Daphnia pulex: one gene and its partners. The protein of the gene in region 1 binds, or shares a complex with, the protein of each later gene. Links are inferred from orthologs where the notes say so. Each region holds a gene or a part of one and is shown in the gene's direction. Other genes may lie near its edges.

What was found.
Region 2: THO complex subunit 6 homolog (region 1) and chromatin target of PRMT1 protein-like share a complex: the UniProt entries of both Homo sapiens proteins name them as parts of the transcription/export (TREX) complex. The link is inferred for Daphnia pulex from reciprocal best matches to the Homo sapiens genes THOC6 and CHTOP.
Region 3: THO complex subunit 6 homolog (region 1) and SAP domain-containing ribonucleoprotein-like share a complex: the UniProt entries of both Homo sapiens proteins name them as parts of the transcription/export (TREX) complex. The link is inferred for Daphnia pulex from reciprocal best matches to the Homo sapiens genes THOC6 and SARNP.
Region 4: the proteins of THO complex subunit 6 homolog (region 1) and THO complex subunit 7 homolog are in contact, whole or in part, in a cryo-EM structure (PDB 7APK), measured with the Homo sapiens proteins. The link is inferred for Daphnia pulex from reciprocal best matches to the Homo sapiens genes THOC6 and THOC7. Residues at the interface, in NP_001334633.1 of Homo sapiens: Asp229, Trp232, His245, Thr252, Gln268, Asp269, Gln284, Leu285, Ser286; in NP_079351.2 of Homo sapiens: Lys110, Arg113, Lys114, Gln117, Glu118, Ala121, Leu122, Val125.
Region 5: THO complex subunit 6 homolog (region 1) and THO complex subunit 3-like share a complex: the UniProt entries of both Homo sapiens proteins name them as parts of the transcription/export (TREX) complex. The link is inferred for Daphnia pulex from reciprocal best matches to the Homo sapiens genes THOC6 and THOC3.
Region 6: the proteins of THO complex subunit 6 homolog (region 1) and THO complex subunit 1-like are in contact, whole or in part, in a cryo-EM structure (PDB 7APK), measured with the Homo sapiens proteins. The link is inferred for Daphnia pulex from reciprocal best matches to the Homo sapiens genes THOC6 and THOC1. Residues at the interface, in NP_001334633.1 of Homo sapiens: Leu57, Ser58, Ser59, Glu60, Pro312, Glu313, Lys315, Thr330, Asn331, Gly333, Tyr334, Ala336; in NP_005122.2 of Homo sapiens: Ser227, Pro229, Ile230, Asp231, Tyr232, Leu234, Arg236, Val270, Ser273, Tyr274, Asp309, Leu312.
Region 7: the proteins of THO complex subunit 6 homolog (region 1) and THO complex subunit 5 homolog are in contact, whole or in part, in a cryo-EM structure (PDB 7APK), measured with the Homo sapiens proteins. The link is inferred for Daphnia pulex from reciprocal best matches to the Homo sapiens genes THOC6 and THOC5. Residues at the interface, in NP_001334633.1 of Homo sapiens: Val5, Pro6, Ala8, Val9, Pro10, Leu11, Gly12, Gln13, Val16, Phe17, Leu20, Gln21, Leu23, His24, Met25, Thr26, Phe28, Tyr45, Tyr80, Asp94, Glu125, Val126, Pro127, Glu128, Asn130, Gly146, Tyr170, His172, Glu188, Trp222; in NP_001002877.1 of Homo sapiens: Pro406, Gly407, Asp538, Ile539, Val540, Asp541, Ala542, Gly543, Leu544, Ser575, Ile576, Ser593, Asp596, Arg599, Glu602, Gly603, Asn606, Val607, Tyr609, Arg660, Phe662, Arg663, Gly664, Pro665, Ser666, Arg667.

The regions. Positions count from the first base shown.
Region 1 is NC_060027.1:616,855-620,563, forward strand, and holds THO complex subunit 6 homolog, read left to right. Parts: upstream 1-1,275; 5' UTR 1,276-1,651; coding exon 1,652-1,758; intron 1,759-1,826; coding exon 1,827-2,060; intron 2,061-2,130; coding exon 2,131-2,292; intron 2,293-2,359; coding exon 2,360-2,522; intron 2,523-2,593; coding exon 2,594-2,748; intron 2,749-2,813; coding exon 2,814-2,901; intron 2,902-2,962; coding exon 2,963-3,049; 3' UTR 3,050-3,209; downstream 3,210-3,709. Other genes in the region: SEC14-like protein 2, read right to left, coding at 166-213; ubiquitin-conjugating enzyme E2 G1-like, read left to right, coding at 3,483-3,528. UniProt on the Homo sapiens protein: Component of the THO subcomplex of the TREX complex which is thought to couple mRNA transcription, processing and nuclear export, and which specifically associates with spliced mRNA and not with unspliced pre-mRNA.
Region 2 is NC_060027.1:3,847,523-3,851,030, reverse strand, and holds chromatin target of PRMT1 protein-like, read left to right. Parts: upstream 1-1,267; 5' UTR 1,268-1,423; coding exon 1,424-1,479; intron 1,480-1,647; coding exon 1,648-1,816; intron 1,817-1,878; coding exon 1,879-2,553; 3' UTR 2,554-3,008; downstream 3,009-3,508. Other genes in the region: tRNA selenocysteine 1-associated protein 1-like, read left to right, coding at 1-6, 73-223, 291-455, 518-975; protein timeless-like, read right to left, coding at 3,135-3,490. UniProt on the Homo sapiens protein: Plays an important role in the ligand-dependent activation of estrogen receptor target genes. May play a role in the silencing of fetal globin genes.
Region 3 is NC_060024.1:915,590-918,719, reverse strand, and holds SAP domain-containing ribonucleoprotein-like, read left to right. Parts: upstream 1-1,177; 5' UTR 1,178-1,314; coding exon 1,315-1,335; intron 1,336-1,487; coding exon 1,488-1,581; intron 1,582-1,653; coding exon 1,654-1,721; intron 1,722-1,779; coding exon 1,780-1,889; intron 1,890-1,956; coding exon 1,957-2,281; intron 2,282-2,342; coding exon 2,343-2,522; 3' UTR 2,523-2,630; downstream 2,631-3,130. UniProt on the Homo sapiens protein: Binds both single-stranded and double-stranded DNA with higher affinity for the single-stranded form. Specifically binds to scaffold/matrix attachment region DNA. Also binds single-stranded RNA. Enhances RNA unwinding activity of DDX39A.
Region 4 is NC_060023.1:12,053,787-12,056,734, reverse strand, and holds THO complex subunit 7 homolog, read left to right. Parts: upstream 1-1,402; 5' UTR 1,403-1,549; coding exon 1,550-1,559; intron 1,560-1,620; coding exon 1,621-1,741; intron 1,742-1,807; coding exon 1,808-2,234; 3' UTR 2,235-2,448; downstream 2,449-2,948. Other genes in the region: ataxin-7-like protein 1, read right to left, coding at 137-224; transketolase-like, read right to left, coding at 2,469-2,948. UniProt on the Homo sapiens protein: Component of the THO subcomplex of the TREX complex which is thought to couple mRNA transcription, processing and nuclear export, and which specifically associates with spliced mRNA and not with unspliced pre-mRNA.
Region 5 is NC_060028.1:7,657,440-7,661,047, reverse strand, and holds THO complex subunit 3-like, read left to right. Parts: upstream 1-1,232; 5' UTR 1,233-1,686; coding exon 1,687-1,866; intron 1,867-1,933; coding exon 1,934-2,090; intron 2,091-2,150; coding exon 2,151-2,355; intron 2,356-2,421; coding exon 2,422-2,583; intron 2,584-2,659; coding exon 2,660-2,912; 3' UTR 2,913-3,108; downstream 3,109-3,608. UniProt on the Homo sapiens protein: Component of the THO subcomplex of the TREX complex which is thought to couple mRNA transcription, processing and nuclear export, and which specifically associates with spliced mRNA and not with unspliced pre-mRNA.
Region 6 is NC_060026.1:6,262,967-6,267,083, reverse strand, and holds the start of THO complex subunit 1-like, read left to right. Parts: upstream 1-1,317; 5' UTR 1,318-1,433; coding exon 1,434-1,475; intron 1,476-1,555; coding exon 1,556-1,638; intron 1,639-1,699; coding exon 1,700-1,992; intron 1,993-2,194; coding exon 2,195-2,417; intron 2,418-2,476; coding exon 2,477-2,582; intron 2,583-2,648; coding exon 2,649-2,917; intron 2,918-2,980; coding exon 2,981-3,110; intron 3,111-3,173; coding exon 3,174-3,382; intron 3,383-3,437; coding exon 3,438-3,581; intron 3,582-3,655; coding exon 3,656-3,803; intron 3,804-4,117. UniProt on the Homo sapiens protein: Component of the THO subcomplex of the TREX complex which is thought to couple mRNA transcription, processing and nuclear export, and which specifically associates with spliced mRNA and not with unspliced pre-mRNA.
Region 7 is NC_060020.1:6,248,670-6,252,867, reverse strand, and holds the start of THO complex subunit 5 homolog, read left to right. Parts: upstream 1-1,398; 5' UTR 1,399-1,721; coding exon 1,722-1,841; intron 1,842-1,936; coding exon 1,937-2,371; intron 2,372-2,442; coding exon 2,443-2,628; intron 2,629-2,685; coding exon 2,686-2,818; intron 2,819-2,880; coding exon 2,881-3,187; intron 3,188-3,255; coding exon 3,256-3,481; intron 3,482-3,548; coding exon 3,549-3,615; intron 3,616-3,683; coding exon 3,684-3,881; intron 3,882-3,977; coding exon 3,978-4,093; intron 4,094-4,159; coding exon 4,160-4,198. Other genes in the region: 60S ribosomal protein L13-like, read left to right, coding at 1-40, 102-260, 467-640, 702-968. UniProt on the Homo sapiens protein: Component of the THO subcomplex of the TREX complex which is thought to couple mRNA transcription, processing and nuclear export, and which specifically associates with spliced mRNA and not with unspliced pre-mRNA.

The DNA.
Region 1 (3,709 bases):
GGTTGGAATTTAAAAAGCTTGCCACAGCTTTCTCTGCCACTCACATTGTTACCTCATTCTATCTTTGATTAATACACTATCCGCGTTCAGCGTGGCGAAATTTCAATACTGGCGAAAATTTAACCTTCGTCTATTATTACAATTAAAAAAGACGATTTTAAATACCTGGTCGAATAAGTTTCGTTTCTCTGGGCTTAGTTGTGTAAGGTCCATGACCGAGAGAAAAGAGAAATTTTCCTCTCGGAATAGTAGAAAGAAAGAAAGTCCCGAGATCCGTATGTTAGATTGCGCGGCTCAACTGGAACTTTTCGAGTTAAGAGTTAAACTTTTTGATCGTTTTGACACTTTCAATTGTCAAAACATGGTGTTGGCTGTTTGTTGGGTTTTAACTCGACCTAATAGTTCCACTACGTCAGTTCGTGTTGTTCCACTGTGATTTCGCTTTATAAGTGCCCAGTCTGAACGAGAATAGCAGTGCGATGCGACCGATCTGTTGGGTGGTTCACACATCAAGAAGGCAAGCGAACGAATGTAGGCTAAGGCCATTAGATTTTTTGGATTCTAGCAATATTATTATCAGAGAGGAAAGCAGGTTTCCTTTCCTGGTATTTCTTCTTGCAGGCCCTCTGATGTTTACTGAATGCACTACGTGCTGTTGCCCTAGCGCTGTATTTTGCTCCCGGCGGCTTATCCCGTTAATAACAGCCTTATGTATTCACGGCGGCCTGAATTATTACAGGTTATTCAGTAATCACTCCACAAGTTTATAAACTCGTAAATTATGCGATCCGCGGGGGGATATAAACTGCAGTCAAGGTTTTCCTGAAGAAAACTTAACACACTGCTGCGCCGCTACGTCTCAGGTGTGACCAAAACACGTATCTTGGCTATCACATTTTATTATATATTTTTTTATTTGAAACATTTCACTTTTTTAAAATTGGTCTGGTTGTTCTGTGTCAAAGTCAACATCTCGAAAATAATCAAAAAGGCAAGTCTATAACAAATTTGGGGGAGTGTTTTCACACAAGTCTAGATACGGTATCATGTCTGATTCCAATAGCTGATTTCATGGGAAATCAGATCTAGTTAATCTAAGCAAATAAGATTAAACTACAAAAAGCTGAAGGGATATCGGTTTCGATTCAAGGCCCAAGGGAAGTGACGTGTAGGGAATAATGGGAATAAGTAAGTTGCGTTCAGTGTATGACAACTCATTGATGATATTCATTATATCTGAGAGTGTCCTTGATCTTATTATTTTGGTCTTTTCAAATCTGAAGTTGACCACATTAAATAACTACAGTTAAAATTTTTGAAACATCATTCAACAGCGCTTTAAATCGGTTTAGATCTTCATCGAACCAATGAAACCAAGTCGTAGTTCACATTTCTATTTGTTTTTGGCTTATTTCTCAGTTGAATTTCCCGGGTAATGGCTGAAACTGAAAAACCTTTCTCGGATTTCCGCAAATTAGTAGATATCGTAGCAGACGCTTCCGCATGGAGACCCAGAGCGCCACAAAAATCAAACTTTGCCGGTGTATATTCTTGTTTTGATTTTCAAATTAAAAGTTAAATTTACTGAGTTACAAATTCTCCGACTTCACGAATAACTAAACTGTTAAAGCAGTGATTAAAGTGCGAAAATATGCCTAACATAAAATCGTTTTACGTGACTGTCCTCTCTCAAGCCCTATCTCCTTGTGAGGAATTTCTAGCTGCTGGAACCAATTTTGGGAATGTCAACATATTTAAGTATTGAATTTATTCTTAAAATAATATTACTGAAAAAAAAAATTTTATTAACATGTATCTCTTCCTAGTATCAAAAGTTTGTATGCCGAAGATGAACAGGGTCCACGTGAAAGCCTCACATTACCACAGAAATGCTTTTCTGTCAGTACCAAACCTTTGCAAGCTATAACATCTTTAAATGATAACTTACTCGTTGGAGGCAAGAACTGTATTGAGGCATTTAGCTGGAATCAATTGGTGCTTCCACAGAATAGTGATGAGAAGGTGAAACCTTGCTGGAAAGTTGATCTTCGCTTGCCAACGTAACCATATTAGAATATTCTGATTATTACATTTATCATAATTAACTGTTGGTTTTATGTAATTTTATAGTGACTTTGGCACTAAAGAAACTGTAGATTGCATGATTAACGGTGAAAACTCAACTTTTGTTGCTTGTGGAGACAACAATATTCATCATGTAGATCTTGAATATGGGAAAGTTAAACAAACCTTCTCTGGTCATACTGATTTCATTCACTCAATGTCCCTGGTGTATGTAGATGTAGTTACAATTCAAGTTATTGCATAAAAACATTAATTACTTTTTATTGTGTGATAGTGGGAATCAGCTATCAAGTGCAAGTGAAGACGGAACAGTATGCATCTGGGATACTCGAAAATCAAAACCTAATCACGTAATTACACCACATTTGGAGTCTAAACTGAATCGACCCCATCTGGGAAAATGGGTTGGTGCTGTTGCTATGAATGAAGATTGGTTGGTAAGTCTTGTTTAAGGAAGTAATCTAATCGATGAGAAATCACTACAGTTGTTATTTGTCGCATATCATAGGTGTGTGGAGGAGGCCCGCACTTAGGACTTTATCATTTACGATCTTTGACAATGAGTAGAGTATTACTCGAAGAAGACGTCCATGGTGTTAACAACGTTATGTTTCACGAAGACAATATAATCGTCGGCGTAGATGGACCGTTTGTATACCAATGGTAATTTTTAAAAATTTAAATTTCCCCCTTGACACTAATGTGTGAGCTGGGTCAATTATTTTTAGCTTATTTTCGGGAGATATTACCGTCAAAATGCCTACAAGTCCCCTTAGAGTCTACAGTATTTGCCTCCAGAAAAAGGATGCAAATAAAGTAAAAAAATATTATGATAATGAAATGAAAAACAAATATAATCTTTGGATTGTTATATTAGTTGCTATTCGTCGGCGGATCCGGTGGAGACATTGACATTTGCACCAGTTCTAAACTACAAGATCAAGTGATTCGTTGTCTTTCATGAATTATGTATCGTCATTTGAACATTTTCATCTCGCTTGCCCTTCCATCAATTATTATACAAAAAAAAACAAAGACATCTGCCATGTCTTTAGATTAATAATGTCAAATTGTGATGTTTTATATCGAGTAATGTTCACAAGAAAATACATCGTGATAATTTATTTCTGGGTTTATTGAATCAATGTTTATTTTAGGAGTGCAATTTAAAAAAAATTAAAATTTATAAAACATGCATTGACGGCATTGACGGAGATTGGTCCGTGACCTGGCCGTGATTAAATTGATTGGCCAACAACGCGCGAGCTCTAGAGGAAGGAAGGAGATTTGGCAACGTCAAAGGCTAGGACGAAGCAAGCAACGTGCTTGGAAAGACTTCTCAACTTGAGAGAAGACTTCTCAAGTTCCTCTCAACAAATTTACGTTTTGATTTCATTATGTCCGAATTGCAGTCAGCATTACTTCTTAAAAAACAGCTAGCAGGTAATTCAGTTGTTCTTGGAACAGGTTATGTAAGATGAAGAGCGTGCGAGTCGCTGTACTTTTTATTTGTTTCACCAGTTTCACTCATTCAATGGCGTTGGCTGACGGCTTTCTTGTTTGTTATATGCTTGACTTGAAATTTTTTATCGAGTTTAAGTGTTGTTTTAACATTCGTTTATTT
Region 2 (3,508 bases), about 3.2 Mb from region 1:
CAGCCGGTAGTGTATTAACTTTTAATTTACCATAATTTATATTAGTTATATTATCTGTTTTCCCACTTTTAGCCAAGCCGTTTCAAGTTAAATCACAGCACAAACACTAAAGGTTCTACAGCCGATCATGCACTGTGGGTGGGAGATTTGAGTGCTGATGTAGATGACTATGGCCTTTACAAATGTTTTTCTGCAAAATATAACTCAGTTCAATTGGCAAAGGGTAATTTGTAAAATTTCTGTAATGATTTTATTGGCAATTATCTGAACTTCTCGTATTTTATGTTTAGTGGTCAGAGGCAGCAATGGAGAAAGTCGCGGCTATGCGTTTGTTAATTTTTCTAATGAAAGTGATTACAAAGATGCGCTGACACATATGCAAGGTCACAGAGGACTCGGCAGCAACCCACTTAGAGTTTCATTGGCTATTCCTCGTAATTACAACATGATACCTGGTAAATGCACGCTTAAACTTTTCTTTGGAGTACATTTCATTTCATACTCTTTTAACTTTTAGGATCCTCATCCAGTACATCTTCTACTTCTACGTTAACTGCATCGATTGCTTCGTCAATTGTCCAGGCCGCAGCCAGCGGCCAGCCAGTTCAACCTCAAGCTGCTGCTGCAGCAGCTGGCTACGGACAGTACGTCGATCCAGCCTATTGGCAACAGTACGGTGGCTGGCAAGGATATGGTTACCAAGGCGGATACGGCTATGATGGTCAACAAGCTTATGCCGGATATGGCGTTGCTGGGCAAATGCCTGCTCAACCTGAAGAAGATGAGTTTGAGCTCATAGAACACAATACACCCGTCGATATTGAGAAACTGAACAGAGAACTTTTTGAGCGCAATCAGGATTTGTGGGATGCACTAGATGAAGCTCGCTGGACAACATTCAATCCAGAGAAAGCCGTTCCGGCAGTTAAAGCTGAGGAAAACGGAAGCAGTACTCCTACAGTAGTGGCCGCCTAATTTCTTTTTATAAAACACTATTGACCATCTCATACGATAAAAAAACAAAGATTCATTTCTGCTTGTCATCTGATTTTGTTTTACAGAATGAATACATTGATTTCAAATAAATACAGATTTCCAATTCTTTCACTTTCTGTATTATCTAGTATATTTAATTATTGACATGATTCTACACCCATAAAACATTTCCTCCACCCACATTTTTTAAAACATGCACTCTTACTCAATCGTAAATCACGACATACTTTCTTTTTTCCGCTAGGTGTCACTTTACTACCCAATAGCAGTCGAAAAAAGTTGAGCGTCATTAGTTCACAGCCGGGCAAACATCAGCAATTGTTTTCATTGACTTCACGAGAAACATTTCTAGATAGCTCGAAATTATCTGTTTTCGGCATTTTCTTGACCGTAATTGAACTTTGGTTCAGCAGTATTCTAGCACAAAATGGCTTCAGGAGGCAGAGTACCAAATAATTCAACTTCCTTATCCTTACATGAAAGGTATAAATCATTAGGCAATTTGGGTTTGTTATGTCGTATATGCGATTGAAATAGTTGTTTGCCGCAATTTTCCCCCTGTTAAACATTGAATTTCCTTGCTTTTATAAAGTATGTGTTGATTTTCTTCTCATTTGCTGATTTTTAACGCATGAAAATTTTTCGTTACAGATTCTCCAAATTACGAAGCTCAGCAGGGGGTCAGAAATTGGCTGGAAAACTGCAAGGGGCTAGAAATAATGCAGCTAATCTTCAAAAGGCATCAAGCAAGAATAGCAGACTAGCTCAACAGATGGAAAGACGAAATGCATCAGTCAGTGCTGCTTTGAAACTGAAAAAGGTGCAATTCCTCGTTTTTAATTCATAACCAGATATACTTACATCATTTATACTGTTATTCAGAAAAGCATCAAACAACGCCTTGGAGCCACAGTAAACACCAGTACTCGATTTCGCGGAACGGCCACCCAAACTCAAAGGAGACTCACAACCAATCGTGGAGCTGGTCGCGGGAGTCAGTCGCGAGGATCTCTGCGAGGAAGTCGAACGCAAGGGCAAACGGTCACCCCAACAAAGATAATTCGAGGCCGGGGCGGACTGAAGCCCATTGTCAGCCAAACAATCGTTCGTGGCGGTGGACAAGGAAACAAGAGAAGCACTCGCGGAAGAATCATTTCTCCATCGAAAAAGCCAGCCCCCGTTGCTGCCACAACCAATCGTTCGCCGACCAAACCTTCGCGTGCTAGAGGCAGCGTGAGAGGAAGACGAGGTGGTCGAGGGCAGATGACATCTTCATTGATTACCGGGCAAGCTGAAAGTCGTATCCAGCGTGGAAGAGGAAGAGGACGAGGCCAACGTGGTGGTAAGGGACCCAGTCGTGGAGGAAGCAGCTTGCCGACATCTCCGCGCGGTCAGACATCCGGACGTGGTCGAGGGCGTGGTCGAGGTGGCTCTACCAAGGTCAGCAAAGAAGATTTGGACAAGCAATTGGATCAGTACATGCAAAAGACTCGTAGCGCTCTAGACAATGATATTGAATCCTACATGTCTAAAATTGGGGACGTTGAAATGAATTAAATATGCAATAATCTTTCTCCAGTCGTTACCTCACCTGTGCTGCTCCCCAACTTCAAACGAAAGAACCTTCTTACTAATAACTCCCCTTCGCCAAGTCTTGATTGACTATTAACAATGTTTTAGTCCTTAAAGTTAAAAGTGAATCCAATTCAGAATTTGTCTTTGAGAAAATGGTTGGACTGTTGTGAAGAGTCTAGACAGAAAAAAGAGATTTTGGACAACCTTGTCTTGATTTCATTCTAGCACTTGATTAAATGGTTCTTGTACTTTCCCCCAGTTTTTGGAGTCCCTTTTTGCCGTGTGTTTCTTGCTTTTCCCTCCTGTTACGGCGCACTTAGCACATGTATCTTTTTATAATTCATTCATATTTCATCCGAGGACTTGAGTGTGAAAAGGTGTGCCTGTGAAACGAGAAAGAGAAACTCATCCCAAAAAATACAAATGATTAACCTCAACACTAATTTGATTTTTGTTCCTTCATTTAATCGTCGCTGATCATAGACAAAATTACAACAAATTACTCTAATGATTGGCCAGCAGTAATCAAGCGGGACCGATCGAAGCTAAATTAAATGGATAAGCTACAATTTTCCTACACAACTCAAGTCGAAATCAACTTGCTGATGGGCAACGGAACCCAACGAAAGAGCAACATTGTACAGAGTGTCTGGTGACCATTCGAGTGGGATCCTTGGATAGGTGCCAGCGTTAGGAAGCGAAGGGAAAAGACCCAGTTGACGCAGAAAAAAGCGAAAGGGTTTCGAACTCAATGCGGAGGCTTCCGCTTCCGTCCAAGGGACTATCGGGCATGGCGTATTCAATTTCAAGCTCAAACAGGTAATTGGATGACGGAATTCGTGGTCGGAGTAAATGCCCAAACGTGCTGCACAGGCCGTCAATAAAGACGACTGAATCCAATCGAGTTGTTTCTGAAATCCTATATTTATCGATACAT
Region 3 (3,130 bases), on another chromosome or scaffold:
AACGTGTATTTATCGGGGAAAAAACAAAAACAATTCCCGATAAGCTAAAAAGAGAAAATTTGACGCCATTTCAGAATGGGCTTAAAAATTGGGTCCCAAGAATAGTGAAAAAACATAAGAAAATCATTGGGCATCACTGTATATCCTTTATTACAACAGTATCCCGGGACCAGACAAATCGACTACCGTCGTGCCGTTTAACCCCCCCCCCCCAATCCCTTATTGGAAACGTGTAAAACCATAATTGTCCTCAGCAGTAAATGATATATATAGTTAAGTTGTGCGTGCCTTGAAAAAAGAAAAACAGAAATCGATTGCCTCGCACAAGTTGGATATTGCCACAGCAATTGGTGTTCTCCTTTTACCCACCTTTTACTCCTTGCCGGAATATAGCCACGTTTCTGCGAATTGGTTGTTTGTTTTTGTTTTTTTGTTTTTTTTTGTTAAAAAAGAAAGAAAAAGACGCGAAAAGACCATTGTTTTTTTCTTCCTTTGAGATGTGTCGCTCGCTACGTAAACATTGCCTACTGTCCGAAGCTGAGCGTCGTCGTGAAAGTGCTTTTTGCGCGCACGTATTTTCATGTCAAAGCGAAATACACGGCTTGAGCATTTGTCTCATTCATTATATAACTATTGCAGCTTGAACTGTTTGCTTGTCTTAAAACACGTTACTTTTTGTCACTTTCTTGTTCTTTGAGCGGGAAAAGAATCAAAAATTCAAAATTCACTACGATGTTACGATGAAATTTAAAATCATTGATTTACAATACACACACTAGTTAGTTAAGCCAATCAGTTTTACTTGGTTTATCACAAGATATTTTATGAAGTTTTTATCAAGCTCTTTAAATTAAAAAAAAAAAATTACTTTGACAATGAGTTTGATCATTTGCGATTACAGAAATAACGTAGTTGCAATGTTTTATGCGTAGCCTTTTTGTCCGAGAAACCCATCGCTTAAAATTAATTTCTCACTATTTTTTTTCAAAATCCTACCAGAGTTATCCTACGTGGCTGATTACTTTTTCGAGGGTTTTCTTTCTCATTGTTGGCTAGTAACACACTAACATGGCAACATGACTCGGACAAACTTTTTGCATTGACGATAGGTGACACTACTTTAGTACAGGATGCGCCCGATAGAGATCACTAGTTTAGAAGCCAGCAAAAGCATACGCAATTTCTCCTCTGAAACAATACACTGGCATTCAAAAGTCGAATTACTTTCAAGTTACCGCGTTGCGCGTTCCAATTGTAATTCATTGAAAGTTTGAGACGCCGGTACAGACAAACGTCATCATTATCATCACAATCATGGACATCTCTAAATTAAAAGTAACCCGCTTAACTTTATATTTGAGTGAAACTTGTCAATATTTCCAACTTAGAATCCTGATTGAGTTTGTCAAATCAAATGTCTATTATGTTTTTGAACTAGTGATAGGCCTACTGTGTGCATTTCATCTTGACTGTTGTTTTCATGCTAGGTTGTGGACCTTAAAAAAGAGTTAAAAACACGAGGCCTCAGCACCATTGGCACTAAAAATGAATTGATGGAAAGACTGCAAGATGCTGTGCAAGGTAAACTTTTATCATTTTGATTATTAAACTGTTTCCATGTTTATGTTCAAGCTTTTTTCCGTGGATGTTAAGATGACGATACTGGAGATAATGGCGCCTTAGACAATGATGACCTTTTGGATGAGGAGGCAGTTTTAGCAGTAAGAACATTGGTTTTATACAATGTGATAAACTTATGCAATTTTATTTTTGGTATAGGATGAAGAAGCTATTTTAGAGGAAGGAAATGCAAATTTGATCGCCCAAGAAGATGATGCAGTTCTTTTAACACCTACTGCATTGAGTGCCCCCAAAGTTACAGTTGAAAAGTTAGTTACTCTGTTTGTTTGGAAAATAATTGCCTCAAGATTAATGATGAAATGAATAATATTTCAGGACTGTTCAGGACTCGAAGAATGAAATAGTTTCTCCCCATAAAAAAATCATCTTGAACAGAAAGGTGGTAACTCCTCCATCAGATTCTGGCACAGTTTCACAGGAAAATGACGACCACCTTAAATATGATGCCAATAAAGGTGATGAATCTGACTCAAAGGAAGAAAAGAAGGTGATTAAACTTGGTTCCTTATCTGCCGAAGAAAGAGCCAAACTAAGAGCACAGAAATTTGGTGTTCCTATTCCCGATTCTGTGAAGAAAGCTGTTCGAGCAGAAAGATTTGGCGGTACAAATAGCACAGAATCAAACACATCAAAACCTCAGGTATTTTCGATTGATCAGCTCATCGTTCTTCGTGTTTTCATGTAGTGAATTTTTATTTAAGGTTCCTGATAATGACAAACTTCTGAAAAGGCAAGCTCGCTTTGGCGTCGTTTCTAATTCTAATTCCGAAGTTGATGAGAAGAAACAGAAGCGAGCAGAGAGATTCGGAACTACGAGCACTGCGGTCGGCAGTTCTGACGAACAGAAGCGCAAACGTGCTGAACGTTTCGGACTTGCCTGAAATGTTCGTTTTAAAGTTTATTAATTGACGTACAGTTAAATGAAACAAAGACTTGGTTCGATCACAAAATTTTTAGTTTTTTAAAATTAAATGTGACCTGATTTCTTATCCCGATAAAAAAAAAAATACTAATTTGGTGTATACTTGAAACACATTTTCTCATGGGTCCGAGTTAGGTTGGTCGGCGGAGTTGTTTTGTTTCTAGTTTGTAATTGAAATAACCTGATATGTTGGTGCGCAATTTCACTTGATTTTATAAAGAAAAGAGCAGCATGAAACAAAGAGATGAAATTTAGTGAGGGAGTTCTAGGCTAGTGGCAAGTCGAAGGGAGTAGCGGTTTAGGTTAATGTAGAAAATTCAAGTTGGAAGGGAAATAATCGTGCAAAGGTAATAAGCAACCCGCCACTAATAAAGTGTGGGTTCAAAACCCTCACTATGTAGTGTAGGACGCTTTTTTAGAAATCTGGAAAGAGACAGCATGGTCCTATACCATGAGGGACAGGAACAGTAAGTAAGTCCCCTGTACTACAAAAGCATATTACAACTCAAATGCTGCAATAATAGGCTATAATATTTTTTTCTCTACGCGATTTTACTAGATATTCGG
Region 4 (2,948 bases), on another chromosome or scaffold:
TTTTATTTTGACAATTTAAACAGCCGTCCATCGAGATAGGCCGAAGCCGTACCGATTCGATAACACCATCAAAACAATTTTCACAAAATATCCGTTAGCTATCAAGAAAAGACAACTTATAAGGCAATTTACTCACTTAATGGACTATCTCTGCCTAATCTATCAGCCCAAACAGACCAAGGCTGGCCATGAAGACTTGTTGGACTGTCATCGTTGGACGCCATCTTTGTTAACAGAAAATTTTTTCTTAATTTCTCCTCTCCGAGACTCCGTCTTCTTTCCTCACCTGCAACAGCGTTGCAACTATAGTGAAAGCAGCTCGGCAGCTACCACTGCCCTTGATGCCTTGCCTCCTCTAATTACTCTATGGCATTAACACCCATTGGACTATTTCAAAATTACCTTTAATATAGTACTTGTATATTTTTCCTAGAATTAAAAAATGCGTTGCGTTTCTTTGCCACTTGAAGACCTTAATGTGTAAGCGTACTAAAGTTGTTGATTCTATTCGTTGGCAATTTATGAAATTTTATGATGATTTAATGATGAAATTATCTTCTAGCGAAACGTTCTAGCAATAATTTAAATCCTCAATCGTCCGTCTATTTTTTTTTTAATTTTGGCAAAAGATTTTATGCATTGCGGAACTCAAAAAGTACATTTTTCTTTGCGCTAAGTATCTTTTTACAATTTTCACACATGGACTGCAACAAGTATGACTATGAGAACAAGCTGCACATAATCATAATGACATCAACTGATAAACACATATGTGAAAATTCCCCATTGAGGTACCAAATCTCTCTCAACTCAGTTATTTTATATTACCAACCAATCAACCATCTGACATCTTGACAAATACAACCATTAATTGACATGCACCTTTTATACTTACAAATAAATGTTGTTTGTAAGTATCTTGCACCCAAAATTATTTTTTCACTGTCAGTTACACACCTGTTTAAAATGAATCTGTCAATCTTGATCACCAATCTCAATTTTCAGGACAATAAAAACAGGTTTTCCTAGAATGTAAGGCAACAGTTTAATTAAAAAGAAGAGATTGACGTTAATCTGGAAACGAGAAAAACAACACTCCAGATCCAGCATTTCATTGGATTCTTTCCTTGACATCACCTGATTGATTCTAAACCGTTCAATGGTTTCCCAAGTATATTGCTGATCTGCTGGACTAGCTCTCTTTCGGTTTTGCTAATGTTTATACAGGCATGCAAGTTTAACCCTAAACAAAATAGATACCTAATCAATCGGATGATTTTTTAAAAAGCCATGTCTCCTTCCTTTCATTTGAGGGGCGTGTCGTCTGCTGGCGGATTTAAAAAACAAAACAAAAGACGAGCGAACTACGCTTACGGCAGACGAAAATATTTTTTCATTTTTCAGTACTTTCCGGCGTTTCCGCAGCGACATTTCTCCTAGGTTTGTCATCTCATTCTTTCGCCCGGTTTGACATCTCAATATTCTCAAAGCTTTACCAGTTAAATTGTATTATTATTGGTCTTATTTTGATCCCAATCATTATTCACAAATGGGAGATGGTAATTTGACTTGTTAGTAATATTATTTCGGTTAATTTTCATCTTGTACTTCGTTATGTAGAAGAGATCATCCGAAGGAGGCTGTTGTTTGATGGCGAAGGAACTGGTGATGAAAGAAGACTTAATGTATTGCTTAAAGGTTTCCTAGCTTGGTGCAACTCTACAGATAGTGTTGAAGAAACGTAAATTAATCTTTGTATAAAATTCTTCTATACTCTATATGTGATGTATTTTTATTTGTTTTACAGACAAGCATCCTACGCTAGAATGATTGGTCAGATTGCCCAATGTGAATTTGCTGCCACAAAATCCTTGAGGTGCTGTGAAATGAACACTGCAGAACAGCAGCACTATGACGACCTCTACAACCAGATTGAAGAAGGAATTGTGTCAGCTAAAAAAGACATTGAAGCAACCAAGAAGGAGTTGCAAGAAGCAAGACAGATTCGCAGGAATAAAATGGAATATGATGCTTTGGCTGCCATTATTCAAACACAGCCTGATCGAAAGAGCAACCAAGAGAAATTATCCCTATTGCGACAGGAACTGGAAGCTTCAGAATGTGAATGTCAAAAACTGGAGGCCAAATTAGAACAAAGACGCAAACAATTTCACTTACTCATTTCAACTATCCAAGGATTACAGCAACTTCTTAACGATGATGAAGCATCCTAATAATTGTTCATTTTGTATGCATCCCTTTTTTCTATTTTTGAATAATAATGCTAACAAATAAAAATCATTTGAAACACCAAAAAAGCTATGTATGAATAAACTATCCAAACGGTACATATACGACTTGGAATGCCATAGAAGAATGTTTCAAAAAACACCACCAATTCTTCTCAACTATCCATAGACCTCTGGTAAGGAATGGGTATAGGAATGAGTGACTTAAAAAAAGGGCGTTTACAACGCAACAAGTTTTTTCGCGGCTTCGGCAATAGCCTTGGCGCCGATTCCAAAATGTTCTAGGAGAACCTCTGGAGGACCGGAGCGGGGAACTTCGCGAACTGCCAAAATCTTGACGATAATATTTCGTTGTTCGGCTAGAGTTGAAGCAACAGCCTCACCCAATCCACCTTCTGGGTAATGGTCTTCAACGGTCAAAACCCGGCCGTTGCAACGAGTGGCTTCCTTCAACAGCAAATCGTGATCAATGGGTTTGATGGTAAATGGATCGATGACAGCAGCCTTGATGCCGGCTTCCATCAGCATGTCGGACGCCTTCAGCGCTTCGTGGAGTGTAACGCCGGCGCCAACGATAACCAAATCGTCTTGATCGTGACTACGAACAACGTGACCCTTTCCAGCAGAGAAAACTTGTTCGTTCTCGTAGATGACGGCTGTGTTGGGGCGAGATGTACGAATGAAGCAAATTCCTTTGGT
Region 5 (3,608 bases), on another chromosome or scaffold:
AATGCCTATTGTAATAGAAACTCTCCTATATATATTATATACTTAATGTTACAACACACACAGCAGAGCTGCCCTGCTGTATTTATATATATATATATCCGCGTTGTAAATCACCGGGATATATATAACGGGCCAGCGGGTCCAATCTCCATAAAGTGTCGAGGCACACCAGCAACAAAAAAGCGTATCATCGGAATCGTATTACCCTATAGACGTTTTCATTTGAAGGGGAGAAGGAAGAGTTTTAAATAAAATAGAAGGAAAAAAAACCCTTTTTTTTCCTTTATTTCTTATATATTTTTATTTTACTACTCTTTGGGTATAGGCCAACGAGACGAGTCCAGTGACCAGCCAAAAGGTCCAGGGAAAGAGAGAGAAAAAGAATCTTTTTGGGCAAAACGAAACGAGACGTTCGCAGATTTACGACTGCGATATGTTATTACGCACACACGGGACCGATTGGCTATCAAAATAGAAGAAGAAGAAGAAGAAGTTCTTTTGGTGTGTGTAATGATGGAGAGAGCAGCCAAAGAAAAAGGAGGTCCAGTAGGAGCATCAGCAGCAGCCCAGGCCAGGCCAGGCCACAAGGCGCGCTTGGACGCCCAGTCGCTTTTATCGTCAGTTAACGGGCAAGAAATTTGCTTATTTTATGGCCGTCTTCTTTTTCTTTTCTCTCCTAGAAGAAGAAGAAGAGGGGGACTCGTAAATTTCCCTTTTTTTTCTCCTTACTACCCCCGCTCTCTTCTTCCATCGACTATACAGCTGTAAATTCTTGTAAAGTCGATGCTAACTCGTTAGTCGTTAGCGTTATATAGAAGCCGTTCTGGTTGTAGTTGTTGTAGATGTCTTATGTGCTGTGTGCCGGCGCTGTGGGTCCAGCATGCACTGGCAGAGAGAGACTACGACTTTTTGTTGCTTTATATTACCCCGATGCCCAAACACGGATCATTTGATGATTGCGCGCTGTGAAAGAAAGAAAAAAAGAACAAAATATAAGAAAACTGAAATCTATATAGTCGTAGTTTTTGAAGAAACGGGCATAGCTGCTGCTGCTGCTGCCCATCCCAGTTGATTTGGACTCGGTTCTTTTGGCTTTGGCGCATATTATTGCCGTGTAGATATATATATATTTATCGGACGTGTAATAACATTCAAAATGGCGCAAGCTCCACAGCTATAGTTTATATGTGTAGCTGGGACTTGGGAGAGAGAGTATAATATTCATGCAGCTAGATCTCGTCTGATAGAGGCTGGACGCCCTTCGCTTGTTGAGTTCATTGTGTGTGTGTGTGTGTGTACTAGTCACGCTTGATTACGGTGTGTGTCCCGTGTTTGGTAACAAAAGCATTTCCACCTATCCGCCCACCCTACGCCTTTTTTATTTTATTTTTGTTATTTTGGGCCAGCCAGTCGATAAACGTATCGTTTAACGTCCGACTAATCAGAGCCAATTGAGGAGACGACATTACCACCACGCATTCCTTGCCCGACCCCTTTTTTCTTTTATTAGTGAGTTAGGAATTTCAAATTTCGCGCTCCAACTGCCATCTGGCGGATGAAGAAGAGACTTGGCATTGGAAATGGCGGGACGACCGGCTTCGCGTTAGTTCGTCTGCACACACTGTGTTTTGTTGACACGCGAGTAAAGGTATATAAACCGCTTTTTTTTCCCGAAATTATAAGAAGATGGCAGTCGCCGAATTGGAAGAGCTGAAAAATCATTTTAAAACGCACACTCGAACGAGGGAAGTCTCTGCACATTCGGCCAAGGTTCACACGGTTGATTGGAATTGCGATGGAAGACGGTTAGCGTCGGGTTCCTTTGACAAGACGGTGTGCATTTTTACTATGGAAAGCGACAGACTGGTTAGTATTAGTCCCGGCTTATCAATCATGCAGCAATTATAATGGAGCTTGAGGCATTCTGTTTCAGGTTAAGGAGCAAACGTTTGTGGGACACAATGACAGTGTCGATCAGCTATGTTGGCACGAAACCAATCCTGATTTGCTCAGCACCGCCAGTGGAGACAAAACCATGAGAGTTTGGGATGCAAGAGTTAAAAAGAGTGTCGCCACAGTAAACACCAAGGGTACAATTAATTACGAAATTATGCTTAAACATTCAATCCTTCATTAATGTGATTTGACAGGAGAAAATATCAACATCACGTGGTCACCTGATGGAAATTCCATTGCAGTGGGAAATAAGGAAGACCTTGTTACTTTTATTGATGCCAGGAATTTTAAGATTAAAATAGAACATCCGTTCAAGTTTGAAGTCAACGAAATAGAATGGAACAAGGCTAGCAATCTTTTCTTTTTGACTAGTGGGCAAGGCTGCATCCACATATTAGAGTAATGATGAATTTTCTTCCCCCTGCTTTCAATCTAGCATGACGCTATCAATTCTCTTGTATCTAGTTACCCAGAGCTTACGACCGTTCACGTCACACAGGCTCACCCCGCCAACTGCATTTGCATCGAATTCGACCCCACTGGACGGTACTTTGCCACTGGGTCGGCCGACGCCCTAGTCTCTCTGTGGGATGCCGATGAAATTGCTTGTTTGCGCACTTTCTCCAAGTAACATTAATGCCAATAATAACGTGCCGTTTTCTATTGAGGTTATTCAATTACTGACTGGGTGTTTCCCCTTTAGGTTGGATTGGCCAGTTCGGACATTGAGTTTCAGTCACGATGGGTCCATGTTGGCGTCCGGGTCAGAGGACTTGCTGATCGACGTCAGCCACGTAGGTACAGGCGAGCGCGTTATCAGCATTCCAGTTGACACGCCAACCTTCACAGTCGCCTGGCATCCACGCTCTCACCTGCTGGCCTACGCCTGTGACGATAAAGACGACGGAAACAGAGACGCCGGAACTGTGAAGCTCTTTGGTCTCTCTAACGAGTGATGGGCCCATACGAATCAAAACTAGGAGGTCTCGTGTTTTATACAGAATCCAGCTTTTTTTTTTTTATTTTTTCACTTGCAGATTTTCTTGTTTACTCTTGTCAAGAACTATTTGCCAAGCTTACAAACTTCAACTGTGTTGAGAGAGATACAAGTAAAATGGATCTCAGATCAGAGATCTTTTCCAGAAAACTGAATTGTTCCAGGACACATTTTCCCTTTTTTTTAACGTTCAAACATAATTAATTACTCAATAATAATTTTCGTTATTACTAGATCCCATATTTGTTAAAAGGTGATGACCGTTCGGCACAAATTTTTAGTCAATAATGAAAAAAACAGGGCGTTAACGTTTAAAGAAATACGACGCTTTTATGCAAGCAGTCCATCTAGGTAAGACTTATTCCTATCCTTATTCTATTACTAAAGGCAAATTAATTTAAGTTGTCGTGATAATAAGCATATTTCGTAGAAACAGATAGATTGATAGTTTGTGTTACATCATACGTGCCGTTGATTATGTACAAGGCTAAAATGTCGTTTGATATTTCGTAACGGTAGTTGGTAAACACTAAACACACACACCCATATATAGGCAGCAAAGCGGCACATAGACGAATGTATCGTTTTGCTCGAGTAGATTCATGTTCATTGTTCTCCGCAGCTAGAACGTGAAATACTCGGAATGCTTCTCGTG
Region 6 (4,117 bases), on another chromosome or scaffold:
GAAGTTGAGAAATTTTGATAGCAAACCGGGGAAAAAACCAACTTTTTGTCAATTTTGATACTTCAAAGTACAAGTACATCTTGGCATTTTGCCCTGGAGACAGCGTTGTGACTGTTTTGTTTGCGTACTTTAGCTTGAGATATAGTAATGTTTTGCGAGTTATCCTTTACTCCCATCAATTGTTACTAGCCAATGCAGAGAGTAAATAACCCAAGATAATTACATTAAAGGCTTGACAAAGAGTTATTGTAGCCAGCAAATAAAAAACAAATCGACAAAGTTTTTGGCAATCATCCTTCTTCTATTCGTTCACAGGGACGATTTGAACAGAGAAAACAACTTCTTCTCATTAAAGGCTCTCAAAGCGATCGCCATCTACATGTTTAATTACAATAGAATAAGGCCTAAGGATTCGCGTTTCTTGCTTCAGCTTACGTGCCGCGTCATCTTTCGTTGATGACGTCCTGCAGTCCAAATGACACAGATAAATTGGTTTGAAATAAGTAAAATTTTATATCTTTTATCTGGTGTTTTATAATGCTACTAATAATTTCCTTTTAATTTATTCTTATTTGAGATGATCAAAGGCGAAATAGGATTTTAAAAAGTGCCACAAACGGCGGTTCCCTGCAGTAAAGAATCGATATCTCTAATCCTCTATGCCTTTTCCTGGTGCACTTCAGGAAGTAGACATAAAATCAGAGCTCGTAAGCAAACAGAGGTAGTTCAAATATAGAGACTAGAACAAGGTTATGAAATCTCGGTAGATAGTGCAGTCGATACTGTAGTTGTAATATGGCAGGCAATACCTGCCGATTTTCATAGGAAATCAAATGATAAAAGTAATACGAATGGAAGTTGAAAACATTCGAGTATTTGAATGCGCTTAAATATTGTTTAGTAGTGAAATGAGTAGCATTGGAATGCTATTGAAAATATTGAGTTCAAAAAGGCTACTTATTGTCGATTACATTAAACATGAGAAATGTCTTAAAATTAGGTAGTTTTTATATGGGAATTTTATCTTTATTAAACTCGGTGCAGTCCCGCGTTAGATGATTTTTCAAAAAAGGACTCTCTTTTGTAGAACACCATTTTTATTGATCCGTCGACTCGCCATCTAGGGGATGATAATCGAGTAACATTTTTGTATGAAAACGTCAAAACGGTAATCTCAGTCAAAACATATTCTTTGAACAGATAAATTATTTGATTATCACCGATTACTTATTAGTTAAACTTGAATGGTTTGACATTTACTTCTTTCCAGAATTTCCGCTTTCCGGGATTCGGAAAAAAAAATCAAGTTGATTTTAGAATGGCAACATTGCAATTTACAAACTTGGCAACGCAACCAAGTTTTGAAGCGTCGTCTGATCGTTTCGAAAACACGACTATTTTTATGTTTCTTACTTTGTAAAAAAACCACTGAAATGGAAATATTTGATTTTGAGAAAACTCGGTGTTCGTTTCTGGTACAGTAAAAAAATCTATCAATGAGCCATATTTGAAATAAATTGAAAAATCTTATGTCTTCTGTGTTTGGTTTCTGTAGGATTCCATTTCTGAAGCTCTTAAACTGGGTGGTCCACCCACTATCAGTGAATTACTTTCAGTTAACAATACAGCTCATCTTGGGTAAATTTAATCAAAGCAGAAAGTATTTACATATTATTGTAATTAAACATATTTATTGTAGGGAAGCTGATAAAAAAGCTGTATGGGATCAGGCGTTTAGAGACAGATTTTTGAGTGATTCCTCAAACTTTTCCATACCATTGTTTGAAAAGTTGTTGCAGTTGAGTCTGGATTGTGCAGTAGCTCTAGTATGTTCTCCAACACTGCCTGTGATTTTGCTCACAGATGCTTTTGACATCCTGTCTCTGGAAAAATGTGAGGAAATTTTCTACATGGTTGAAATGAAAGTAGCGATTTGGAAACAAGAGCTTTTCTTCAATCAGTGTAAAAATACCTTACTTCGCCTTTGCAATGGTATGTAAAGACATTTTTCCAAAATTCTAATAATGTATGACACAAATATTTATGTAACTGGATGCATCTAATTCTGTATTGATATGAATTCAATCCATTACTCTTATTTCAATGTATACCACTCTGCTAAATTCATTTACAGTGTTTCGCTTTATGTGAGTTGTGTTGCTGAAATGAATTTTATATGTATATTTTTTTTCAGATCTGCTGAGGCGCTTGTCCCGAAGCCAGAACACGGTTTTCTGTGGTCGAATTCTTCTATTTCTTGCAAAATTTTTCCCATTCTCTGAACGATCCGGACTTAACGTAGTAAGCGAATTTAATTTGGATAATTTGACGACATTTGGAGCTAAAGATGAAAGCTACGCTGCTGATATATCTGCTAATTCTGAAAAGCACAAGGATGCAATGGAAGTAGAAGAAAGGTATATATATTTGATTGACAAGTTATTGCAATATTTTTCTAAATTTTCTTGTTTTGTAGTTTGAGCTCCGACTACAATCTGTACAAAAAATTTTGGTCCCTACAAGATTTCTTTCGAAACCCTAATCAGTGCTATACGAAAATCCCGTGGAAAACGTTTTGTTTGGTAGCTAAAACATCAAGTATTTCAAGTTAAAATTTTCCATCTAACAGAAAAACAATTATTCTTTAGCATACTAGTGATGTTTTGTCTGCATTTTCTACTATCAAACTGGATGAGCGGAGAAACCGCTCTAAATGGGATGAGGCAGATGTGGCATTAAACATCGATATGAATGAAACCAGCATGAATGGTGGAAATGTCCAACAATATTTCGCCAAATATTTGACGAGTCAAAATCTTCTCGAACTTCAGCTCGGTGACTCCAACTTCAGACGTTACATTCTGCTGCAGTTTCTGATTATGTTCCAATATCTGGATTCACCTGTCAAGTTTAAACAGTTAGTTTCAATAAGTTTCATTAGTTAGACTATTTCAACCGCTTGAATTGCTTCTATTTATAGCGAAACTCACAAGCTCAACGAAGAACAAACTACGTGGGTTTCCGAGGCTATCGATCAAGTCTATCGGTTATTGAAAGATACACCTCCAGATGGCGCTTCTTTCGTCCAATCTATTCGACACATACTAAAGGTATACTGAGTTGTATAAAAGTAGTTTTAAAAAATATCATCCATCGGTGTTTGTTGGATGTAGCGGGAAGAATTATGGAGCAACTGGAAGAACGATGGCTGCCCGGAATTCCGGCCCAGCATAACCAGCTCAACCACTGATAATGATACTATAAAAGATGGTACCAATGGAGAAAAAAAGACGATCGTAGTTGGCCGACCAAGACGGCTCAAAAGAAGTCTTGGAGATCAGATTCGAGAAGCTTCAAAAAGAAATAAGTGCATTATTGGAAAGTAGGTAAATTATGAAATTATTTGAAAACATTGAATTACAGCTTTTTCTCTTTAGCGCTGAGATGAATCGTTTGTGGAATCTATGTCCTGATAACATGGCTGCCTGTCGATCTAAAGATCGAGATTTTCTACCTACATTAGAAAACTATTTTGAGGAAGCCATTGAGCAACTGGATCCTTCAGTGGAAAGCCAGTACAAGTAAAAATTTGCACTTTAAAGCTTACATTTTTCCGAAAATGTTTTAACTGAATGAGCGATTTTCGTGTTTCCAGGCGAGTTAGTGAGGCTAATTTTGGGTGGCGTGCTTTGCGGCTTTTGGCTAGACGAAGTTTACATTTCTTCACTCATGGTAATACTCCTATCACTCGGCTGCCAGATTACTTGGAAACGCACGTTCGCAAACTGGCCAAGGACATGCAGGTAGAGTAAAATCAGATGAATATCACGGTTCCCATTCTGCAATACAGGGAAAAGTCAGGGATTTAGGTTCTCATTTGGGAATATATATATATATTTTTTTTTAATATTTTGAGGTATTTTGAATTTTGTTATCGAGACTCATAACTTTTGCACGGGTTTTGCTGTTAAACAAAGATTTTGAAATAGTTGATCCAGAAGAAATACAGACGAGTTTGTTAGGTGTCAGGTAATTTTTCACATTCATTTGTCTGGAAATCCCTGGATAATCTTGATATATTACTGGTTTTGTAGTTGGCTTATTCAAATAATATGAT
Region 7 (4,198 bases), on another chromosome or scaffold:
CAAACAGTGGCAGCGTTATGTCAAGACTTGGTTTAATCAGGTACATTTCTTTTAATATGTGTGTTGAATGTGTGCTTTACAGTAGTGTTTCATCTTTACAGCCAGCTCGCAAGCAGAGGAGGCACGCACACCGTGTAGCCAAGGCTCGTCGTGTGTTTCCTCGTCCAACGACTTCATTGAAGCCCATCGTCAGGTGCCCGACTTTCCGGTACAACACTCGTGTTCGTGCTGGAAAAGGATTCAGTTTGGAGGAATTGAGGGTAACATATTTACTATTAATGTATCATGTTTTGAATTGTGGAAATTATGACAGACACGACTCAAATCAAACTGCAAATTGCTCTGGTTTCATTGTCGAAGAGTTAAATAATCCATTTGGTTTAGTGTAGCAAATGTTTTATTATGCCATATGCTCCAAAGTTTTATATATTAATGTGATCATTTTTATTTGAATTTTTTGTTTTAGGCTGCCAAGATCCCTAAGCGTTTCGCCCCAACAATTGGTATTGCTGTTGACCACCGTCGTCGTAACAAGTCTGTGGAATCATTGCAGTTGAACGCCACTCGCTTGAAGGTCTACAAGAGCAAGTTGATCCTCTTCCCACGCAATGCCAAGAAACCCCAGAAGACTGATGCTACTGTAAGAATTGTGACAAGGATTGTGTACCACCACTTTACAATAACATTATGTTTTATTTCAGCCTGAGGAAATCAAGTTGGCCCAACAGTTGACTACTGAGGTTATGCCCATCACCAGGTCTTACAAATTGGAGAAGGCTCGCGCCATCACTCCGGCCGATCGCAAATTCTCTCCTTATGCTGTACTCCGCACGGCCCGAACAACAGCACGCCTTGCAGGTATCCGAGCTAAGCGAGCTAAGGAAGCGGCTGAAGATCCTGAAGCAGCCAAGGAGGCAAAGGCTAAAGCCGCCAAAGCCAAGGCTGCCAAGGGTGGCAAGAAGAAGTAAACCGTTCTCGGGATTGTATTTTGTATTTCAACCAAAAACGGCAAAAATACAAGATTATCCTGTCTATAATGTGTCAGACGTACGTCGAATTGCCTCAGTTCTTACAGCTTATTTGGTGGAAAACTTTCGTAAAAGTCAGACATAAGAAAGGCAAAAGTTTGAAACCTTTTTAAAATATTCACAAACATAACCCACAGTAGTTTTAACATGATTTATAGGTATAAGGTGTCATTTTGCTTGAATACCAATTATTAATCCTTAAATGGGAAGGATAAAATGTATAACAGGAAAATTGCATACTTGACGATCCCTTTGAGATAATTAGTGATGTCTATATCTCAACTCATGGTTAGAGAAATGAAATGTTGGTGGTTGAATATTTTTAAGCTATCGGGAAACTCCCTTACTCATGTAAAGGTAATGTTAAACGGTTAGGTCCTCTTTCTAAATCATTGATACAATGCGCAGTCCTTTCAAGATTAAGAGTATTGTTTAAAATTTCAATTTATTTAAAGCAAGGTTCCAGGACTCGGGCTATTTTCCTATTTTCTTTGATAAAGCCTGATAAAGCTAAAAGAAAATTTTAATTTTAACGGAACTAGTTCTTAAAATTACCGCTACGTGTACCCGTTTAAGAATAAAAAGATTCAACACGTTATACAGTTTTGTCGGCCTTGCATATAGTAGACGTAGACAAGACTTATTTAACATAGTAAACTGGTAAACGGAACAAGCTTGGAAGCGGTATTAACAATGTCTAAACCTTCCAAAACTAAAAGAAGTGACTCCGAATCTATTAAACAAGATCCCAAAAAAAGCAAAAATGATGTTTCATCTATGGCAGCAGCAAGTAAAGTGAAGGAATTTTGCAAGGTACTTGTTACTTAATTCTCTTAACTTTGGTTAGATTTTTTATTGGGTAAATGATATAGTGCTGAATTTAACTTTTCATTTGCATGATTTTCTAGAATTTCATGGACATTGAAGACAAGGAAGTTGAATCCCGGACAGGGGAAAGTGACTTGAAAATATTCAAAGAAACATGTTGTGAATTAAAAAGATTGATGACAGACATTTTACAATTGAAAACATCTGGAAAAACCGATGAAGAAACCAGTAAAAAGATCATTGAAAAAAGAATAGAAGCTTCTCTTTTGTTTGTAACATTGAAGAAGTTAAATCGAATAGACAAGCTTAGATTGAAAAAGGCAAGGGATACAACCCATGATGCCAAGCAGCGTGTGGATACATTTCATTTACAACTAGAAAATCTGCTGTATGAAGTCTTTCATCTGAAGAAAGAAGTGGACAAGTGTTTGGAGTTCAAGTCTAAAGATGAGGACATTGAACTTGTTCCTGTTGAGGAGTTTTATCAGGAGGCCCCAAGTAGCATTTCTAAAATGGTATGAAAATCTACCTATTGTTTACCAACCACTACCAAAAAGTATTCTTATTTTGTTTTCTTTACATTTAGGAATTGACCAAAAGTAATCAACACAAATTGACTTTGGCTCGGTTGGAATGGGAATTTGAACAACGGAAACGTCTTTCGGAACAGTGCCGTAGTCTGGAACAAAATCGAGAAAAGGCATCCAGTGAAATCAGTCAGAAACAAAAACAACTTGAAAGCCTGTTACCCAGACTTACTTCCATACTTGAGGTAATTAAGTGATACAAAATCTAAAAGAATTTGATTTTAATATTTATGTTTCGAAAGTCCACGCGACCCTTACAAGAAGAGCTTAATTTGCCTGTAGAGCGAATCAAGTTTCAGAAAGAGTTGGCTGTGTTATTACCGGATCCACTTTACATTTTGTACAGTCAGATAAAAGCGTTCATTGAAGCATGCGGTAATTTTATTAAATTCGTAAGTTTTCTTAATCGTTACGATAAATATGACTTTAACCCGCAGATCCGTCATTGCAAATTTCTATCGAAGGTGGAATGGAAGATGCTATTAATTTTGGGTCAAAGAATAAAACTGGTTTGGACGAAATTCTCGAGGATGTTGATTCAGCGGAATCTGACATGGAGACGGAATATGAAACAAACAAACGCTCCGCGACTTCAAATAAAATGAAAACAGATTGGCAATTGACTAGGCATCCTTTACGTATTCAACTTAAGATTGAACGCGTTGTCCTTAACTTCACGTATTTAACAACATTAAATATCGTCACGGTCGACTGCAAGCCCGTTCAGCAAGACGATGGAGTAAAGTAAGATTATATTATTGCTTTCTTTCTATATGTCGAAATGTCTTTTAAAAAAGTCTTTCTCTTACTAGTCAGATTTGTATGATCGATAATCTCCTTTCCGGACTTTTTCCAAACGACCATGGGGATGAATCGCCCAGTTGGGTCAATTGTTTTCAAGCAAGGTCTATGATCAACGGTAAAATAACTGAACAAGGAAAACCTTACCTTTGGGCCCAACGTTTAGCTGGGTTAGATTTCAACGGCATCGTAAAATCGACACCTCAATCTTTCATCAACACGGAATTCGTTGAAACGGTCTCTATAATTTTTTAAACAACAATAACATAGTAAAACAAGAATAACCGTGTTTACTTGTATTTAGGTTATTCTTGCCCTAAAAAGTAGGATTACTTATCGTTTCCAGTTTGTTAAGGTTTTACACTTACTTGGTGAGTCTTATTTCATACTTGTTATAAAACAGTTTTAAAATATGCATAGTTTCTTTAACATTAAACAGAAAAGGGTGAACTTGATCTCAATCAAGACTCAAATGCTACTTTTCCACCAACAATCTATTCTCGACTCGTCTCATGGACGTCTTCTACGTATGAAGAATGCCTCGTAACGTCAAAGAACCTTGAACGGCTGTTGAACTTCCTTGAAGTAAATCCAAAAAGCCTTTCGTTTTACAAAGCAACTCTTGAAAGAGAATCCGGTATAGTTGTAAAATATTTTAAAATTTAATTTCTGTTAAGGATCCTGTATGATGAATTTAATTATTATTGGAACCTTTTTTGTATTTGAATTCCAGCAAAACTACTCGCGATGTTCATGGTTCCTGTAGACTACCCGAACTCTACACCAATTTGTTCACTTGAACTTAACTGGAATGGAAAGCACAATAGAGAAAATAGTGAAATTATACGCGTATGTATTATAGCTAAAACTTTTCGTCTTCGGTTTTGTGATATTTTACGTAATTTTTAAAAATAGAGAATCGAAGCGGAGGTTAACGTTCCCAGTACTGAACTT